Linked DNA regions of Tribolium castaneum. The protein of the gene in region 1 binds, or shares a complex with, the protein of each later gene. Links are inferred from orthologs where the notes say so. Each region holds a gene or a part of one and is shown in the gene's direction. Other genes may lie near its edges.

Region 1 (3,928 bases):
TAATTTGATTACCATGCAAGCATGTGTCGTTATCAATTTATTTACAATGTTGAGAAAACATGATTAGTAATAATAAGGACCAATCATTATCTAAATATTTTTCTGGTAATCAAAAACCAACAAAGTTACAAACATGCCCATCTACTGGTTTATAGAAAAATCGACTTACTAGCATTTGAAACTTCTTTAACATATTGCATGGCAATCCTTTTTAAATAATCAGCGTGCTCCTCCGCCACAAAAAACCCCATAAAATTTGGAGAAGTATACGTTTCTAGTTTTAGGGGCTCGTTCAACATAGCGCCCTGCCTTTCCATTACGGACTTTAGGCTTTGCGCCAGATGTAGGGCGTCTTCATCAGGCGCCTGTTACACATCATTAAACGAATTCAAAATTTATCAAATGAAATACCTTAAAAAACGAAACTAGCGTAATGTGCGGCGTGAAATTGTGGGCCCCGTTCCAGGCGCATTCCCTGTGCGACTTCTCCCAGAAGGTCTGTAACTGTTCCAGGAAAGGTCCCGTGGGACACGCATATAAAATGTACTCCCTTGGAGAGTTATCGTCCAGCAATGGGTCATTTACGTGGGCCAGTAACCAGTCGGAGGCCAACTGCACGCCCCTGTTACCAGTGGCAGCTAAGGCCTTTTCGCTGTGTGTAATTTCAAGTTACCCGAAAGTTTATTATCATTTTGTTTACTCACGCTCTGTGTTTGGGGAACCCCATCTGGAGGAGGATTTGTAGCGGGGTCAGGTGCTGTTTGGATATTTTTGTAGGTGTGGGGTTCCTCCTAGGGGGTAGTGTTGCCATTTTCATTTAATAAATTATTAATTTCAACTAGGTTAAAGTTTGGTGTTGACACTTCTAGTGGACCTTTGACATTTAAACAGTGACGTTTTTGTTTTGGTTTTGTTTGGGGAATTGGCCTTTCAGATGGCGGCACTGGTTGGAACACTGTCAAGTGTTGATGTCTGTCAAAATTTGCCCATTTTCATAAGAAAGTATTAAAGTGTGTTAATTTTTTATTATTTACACGTTATTCGACGATGGCAGGTGTCCTGTTTGAAGATATATTCAACGTGAAAGATATTGATCCTGAGGGAAAGAAATTTGATCGAGGTAAGTGGCTTTTATCGTCTGTTTGTTTGGATGTGTGACCGGCGTTTTTGAGGTTATGTTTTAACGTTTCGTAAAATTGCTCGAAATTGTGTTAAATTTTGAATGTATTTAAAGTTTACATCTTGTCTCATTTACCTCTGAATTTGGAAAGCGTGTGTATGTGGTTATTAATACGATAATACCGTCCTACTCTAAATATTGGTTATACCCCCCCACCTGTGTCCTAGTTGTGGCATCGATTGGTCTTTTTTAATGCATTAAGAATAAAACCAATAAAAACAGGCAGATAGAATAGATTTTTTTTGGTTAGAATTAATTACTTGAAGGACTTATATTAATAGAATTATGCAAAATTAGTCTTACAAAATTTTACTTTTATACTAATAATTTTTTAACGTATTAATTTTTGTTTAATACTTGTGTGGTTTGTAGGTGGTGTGTATGGGTGACATGGGCCGGCCCCCATTTTTGTTAAAACTGTTCGCTGTTTGAATCATTTGTGAAGACTGATGAATTACATGAATTAATTGTAATACAAAAAGCAATAAAATACATATTAAGAAACACGTAGGGGTTTAGAGCATTCTAGCTGGGATAATAAATGGATATATTAATTACACTAGTTTACAATTTTTTTTCTTTTACTAAGAAATCATTTCTACTAGGTAATTTTGTTTTCTACTTACTCACTGATAACAAAAATATACAGGCTATTTGGCAACACAGTATTAAAAAAACATTTAGGGTGTATCAAAATTGGCGAATTCCGAGTTCTGAGCACTGTAGAGAATTGCTTTAGTAGTCCAAACATCGAAAAGAGTTATTAATAATACGGGAGCAAAAACAAAAACTTAAAGTTCGAGAACTTTAAAAGCGTTTTCGCATGAGTGTTATTAAATTTTTTTTTTTGGAATATTTGAACTTAAATGAAAACACGTTGCTATGGGAAAAGCGTTTTAAAATAGTGTTTAAAATCTAGGATTCAGATATTAAAAAGAAGGCTTCAAATGTTACCAACAAAAAAATATTCGGGGCTGCCTCACAAAGATACATTGGTTTGAAGATTACTCTTTGAACTGCGTTTTTTTTAATTCAGCCTATATGTTTCAGTGTTTATTCTTATTTGTGGTGACGATGATTGTGAAGAATAATAACTGTGAACGATTTCTCAAAAAACTAGCTTTATTATTTTATATTTATATTTATTTTTTTATATTATTTTGGAGTTTTTAAAATCTTAATTTTTTTAATTTGCCGTTTTGTTTTTAAGAAAAATTACAAAAATTTAAATTTTTTACTCTAAAATGAAGCTGATTTTTTGAAATATTGTTTTACATTATTATCTTCCACAATCATCTACATCATAAGTAATAAAAATGAAAATAATGAAAAATTTTTAGCCTTCATTTGAAGAAAACGCAATTCAAAGTGAGCTGACGTGCACCTTCAAACCACTGTATCCTTGTGGGGAAGTTCCGAATCTTTATTTTGTTTTTACATTTAGTCTAGTGAAGTGATTCTTTACAACGCTCTGACCTCGGAATTTGTCAATTTTGAAACATCCTGTATGTTACATTTTTCTATCACATCTAGTTTTTTTTTAATGTTCACTAAAAGTTTTGAAAATTGGTTTCTGGTGTCTAATTTAGCATCCGTTGTTTCTGTGATGAACTAATTGTTAAACATTTTATTTGCTTTAAAATATCATTAAGTGAATGTATTAGACTTACCGATACGCATTGGTTTCATCTATTGGCAAAAAACGTTGTAAACTAGTGTTATTAGGAACTGAAATGAATAAAGAGAAGAAATACAAAGTAAAAAATTAAACCGACGTTTAGAAATATTACACTTCGAATTTTCCAAGTTAATACATTTTATTAAGTACTCCTACACATTTCAAAATGATAAAAATGCGATTTATTTTTGTTTCTATCATATTGAAATTAAATTGTTAAAAAGAAAAAGAAAATCAGTTGTTCCAGTAAAAATTAGTTAAAAATATTACAGGTAATAACACTGTAACAAAAAGTGAAAATTTTTGTTTTTATTCTGTATTATTACTATTATTAGTGTTTATTGAAAGCATAGGTCTTTTTGAATAAATTTTTGGTCACAATTTATTTTTAGTGTCGGTCTGCGAAAAAAAAGTGGGGGTTGACAATTTTTGATTTTACTCAAATTTAATAAGATGTTGTGATGTTATCCATGAAAAAGATTAATAATTAGCCACAAAACAACTTGTAACTTGATTAAATGTAACGAAAAGAACACAAATTAGTTATTAATAACAGAAAATTTGGTGGCACAACGCCAGTGGTCCTAAATTATGTTTAAAAAATCTAGTCATACATGCCTGCTTACTGGATGGTTCTAACAGGTGAAAAATGGGGTCTTCACTGTTCAATGTTATAACGAAATATGTCCAATTTTTGTCATTTTGAGAAAAATATAGAAACGTATGCTATAAAGTCCCTCTCTTTCAAATGCAATAATTGTTTTTGCAATAGAGTGGTTTATTTAGATGTTATTAAACAATTTTGTTATAACACCGAAAATTTGTGAACATTTGTTCAGCAGAATAATGAGATAAGTCAGTCAATCGTTTTCTCTCTATAAGTCTACAAATTACTATTAAATGTAAAGTAATATAAAAAACTATAAATTACATCTGACCTTTCATTTTGTGTGTTTTCTATAAATTTAAAGACAGTATTTTTAAAGGAGTGGTTTTTATTAAACAAAAACATTAAAATAGTGGTTCGTTCTAGCTCTTGGGGTTAAAGGTATTTCCATTTAAAAACAACA
Region 2 (3,415 bases), on another chromosome or scaffold:
AAGTCGTATCAGATTTATTGAACGCCTGTATTTGCCACAAGCTTGGCAACCTTAAAGCTCTCAGCTTCGCTTCGAGCTTCAATATTACATAATTATTACCTCTCTCCATCATCCTGATGGCTTCTGCTATATAGGGCACCAGAAGCCTGTTAACAATAAACCCGGGGGTGTCCTTGCAGGTGACGCAGGTCTTGCCCACGGCTTTGCCCCACGCCATAAAGGCCTCGTACGTCTCCTGCGACGTCTCCGGAGTCCTAACAACCTCCAAAAGCTTCATAACGGGCACGGGATTGAAAAAATGCAGCCCCCCGAACCTATCCTTCCTCTTCGTAACGGAGGCAATTTCGGTAATCGAGAGCGAGCTCGTATTTGACGCAAACATGGTTTTGGGGGGCGCGACCTCATCCAAATTTTTGAACAATTTGTGCTTAACATCCATGTTTTCAACAATCGCCTCCACGACCAAATCGCTGTCTTTCACAGCTTCGGCAATGTCGGTGCACCCCTTAATCCGGGCCTGCGATTCGCTCACGAATTTATTAGCGGCTTGCGGGTCATCCTTGTGGAGTTTTTTGGCGACTCGTACCAAGTTTTTCGCAATGCTGTCTTCGGCTTTTTTGATCAAGTCGGGGTTGACTTCCACGATGGTCACGTTGTGGCCGGTTTGCGCGGCCACCTAAGCAAGGGGGCGAATGTTAGGTTAGGTTCGGGTGGTTTGGGGTACACTTACTTGGGCGATGCCTGAGCCCATGAGGCCGCCCCCGATCACAGTTACGTTTTTTATAACTGCGTTCATGGGGCTTGAAGTTGAAAGGCTTCGCTTGATGAACAGGTTTAGGGCCATTTTTTCGCGTTCGGTTACGAGTAAAAAGTGGTGTGTAATGCGGATTTTGTTTGGTTTATTAACGATACAATAACTAGGTGAAAGTCCAAGTTTGTAACCTATGATCGACTCCCACCGCTACGTTTGTGTACTTTTTAATCATTTTATCGTTTATGGCGAGATTAGGGCTCAGAAGTGAAAATCATCGTGCCGATGGTTTAAAAATAATCCGCTTTCGATAACGAGTGCGACTTTTGTACCTGAATTTATTTAGGTATTATGTAATAAAAGTGCAACATCATTCAGTCAAGTGGTACACAGGAGGGTTCCAAAATGGGGCTATATAGCAATCCCTGTTATCAATTTATCCACTTTTTTCAAAGAAATACTTGAAAAAAAATATAATTTTGGGGAAATTTGTGATTATGCAATCAGCAATACACGTGTGAGAGGTTAGTTGCATTCTATAAGTTGTCAAATGTCATAAAAACACCAACTTTTGTAAGAAAAATAATTTATTTCTGATTTAAAAAAGTACACAATTCTCGATTATCAACAATGGTTAATGTAATGAAAGGCGTTTTGGTGACCTGGTAAGGCCCTAACAATTTTTTTGAGTTTTTGTTTGACATAACCTCAATCATGCCAGATAATCCAAATCTCCGGGAATCCCAAACTGCTTATTTAAAACCTTATCTTCCATCATAAACTTCCTTTTGCACCATGATTTGACCGCGAAGATATTATCAGTCCATCGATTTGCTGCTTCTTTTACCGGTTTTATCTCACTTTGCATTAATTTCAAATTTTGAGTATCTGTGTGAGATTTCGACAGAGATTCGAATTTTTCTTTCTGTTTTTCCAGTTTTTCAATTTCCTTCAAAATCTGGCTGTCGTCCCAATTCTCTTTCCCCACCTGCGCTTTTTCCATAGTTTCGTCAATTAATTTCAATTTTTTTGTTGACGATTCTAATTTCGTTTGAAGCTCGTTAAGTTTGCGTTTTTTCGCGTTAAGTAATTTGCTGTAATTAGGATAAAACGTGTTTTTGGCCCGTCTATACCGTTTTTCGGACACTCTCCCAGTTATCTCAGTGATCTCCGTTATTATAAGAGATACGAGGTCGGTTAAATTAGGGCAAAGTTGCGCATTTTTATGCTGAACAATTATTTGAAAAAAAAAATTGTAATTTTCGTTTTTATTTTTTCAAGTGAAAACCAAAAGAACTAGACGTAGGACTTTTTCGGGCACTTTTTACAAGGAATCTAAATTTGTCATCGGATTTTCCTAGGCTTGCTTGATGTCAGAGTTACAACACTTAACTTCGTTTTTTTTATGGGAAAAAAATAAAAACGAAAATCATTTTTTTAAATTTCTCTCAATAATTCAAAAACTAAAAATGGCACATAAAATTTTCTTTCAGAAATTGTTTTGCATACAAATGCACAACTTCTCAAAAAAACGGACACCCTGTATAATATTTACCTGGGAAAAGCCCAAAAGTAGACGGAACTCCCGATCTTATCCTTATCAACAGAACCATCATCCACCAAAGCTTGGACCACTTCTTTCACAGAATTCGCCGTAATTCCTTTCTCCTTTGGCGCAATTATTTCCAATTCATTCATTTGATAAAAATCCCCAGTCTCGTGAAACAATTGCAACATCCTAGCCTTTTTCTCCTCAAAACTTAGACCTTTTTTCTTGAACATTTTCCCCTAAAAAATGCGTTGTTTCAGTGACCAGGCCATGAAACAATTCCTTTTGTATTTAGATGAGACTACAAAACTAGGCCGAAAATTCATAATTCAGGACTTGGATGAAAACCACTTATTTATTTCAGCCGATATTTTAGAGACATTACAGGCAAAAATCGACGATCTGATGGACCAAATTAGCTTCCCAGTCGCCGAAAAAAGCAATTAATTTTTTGTAATTTGCAAAAGTGAGGTTATGTCATATTGATGTGTGGTCATTCGAATTATAAATAAAAAGCGCAGCATTTATATAATGACGTGTTTTGCTATAAATAATATCGTTGCGGGCCGGTTTTCGTCCATACTTACGCAATAAGGCACTAATTAACTGTTTTTTCAAATTGTCGGTACAAATAATACAGTTCCCTGTAAATTGGAAGTGGCTACAATTACGCTTCTTTGATAACCGACTATTCTACAGTTGTTACGCCATCACGAACATTTTTACACACAAATGATAAGAATAGAATTAAGCAATAGATAACGGAAACGTGTCACTAATTATAATTTTTCCCTGATTTAATAGCCGCCGTGACGTAACCACAGCCACATGTCAAACGTCACAATTGACTTCTTTGGTTATGTTCCGTTTGTCAAAGTTATAAAACGAAAAAACGCGTTTCTCGGCCACAAATCATCAAGTGTGTTAAGTTCCGTGTCAGTGCATTTACCCCCATCATGACGGTGCCCACCCCCAGCGAGAAACTCCTCACCAATGGCTCCACCACTCCCAAGCGCCAAAACGGCCAAAAATCGGGCCTCATGAAGCTATCAAGTTACGTGCTAGCCTTGCGTCCGTGGTCCCTCAGTGCCAGTCTCATGCCCACACTGTTGGGC

The links.
Region 2: Polr2H (region 1) and Tfb5 share a complex: the UniProt entries of both Homo sapiens proteins name them as parts of the TBP-based Pol II pre-initiation complex. The link is inferred for Tribolium castaneum from reciprocal best matches to the Homo sapiens genes POLR2H and GTF2H5.

What each region holds. Positions count from the first base shown.
Region 1 is NC_087396.1:10,332,613-10,336,540, reverse strand, and holds the start of Polr2H (DNA-directed RNA polymerases I, II, and III subunit RPABC3), read left to right. Parts: upstream 1-984; 5' UTR 985-1,047; coding exon 1,048-1,120; intron 1,121-3,928. Other genes in the region: Epp (ecdysteroid-phosphate phosphatase), read right to left, coding at 170-365, 412-652, 705-817. UniProt on the Homo sapiens protein: DNA-dependent RNA polymerase catalyzes the transcription of DNA into RNA using the four ribonucleoside triphosphates as substrates.
Region 2 is NC_087399.1:6,497,789-6,501,203, reverse strand, and holds Tfb5 (general transcription factor IIH subunit 5), read left to right. Parts: upstream 1-1,274; 5' UTR 1,275-1,381; coding exon 1,382-1,416; exon of another isoform or gene 1,417-1,463; coding exon of another isoform or gene 1,464-1,845; intron 1,846-2,306; coding exon of another isoform or gene 2,307-2,533; exon of another isoform or gene 2,534-2,539; intron 2,540-2,560; coding exon 2,561-2,747; 3' UTR 2,748-2,832; downstream 2,833-3,415. Other genes in the region: hydroxyacyl-coenzyme A dehydrogenase, mitochondrial, read right to left, coding at 100-676, 731-844; meiotic nuclear division protein 1 homolog, read right to left, coding at 1,464-1,845, 2,307-2,533; heix (ubiA prenyltransferase domain-containing protein 1 homolog), read left to right, coding at 3,257-3,415. UniProt on the Homo sapiens protein: Component of the general transcription and DNA repair factor IIH (TFIIH) core complex, which is involved in general and transcription-coupled nucleotide excision repair (NER) of damaged DNA and, when complexed to CAK, in RNA transcription by RNA polymerase II.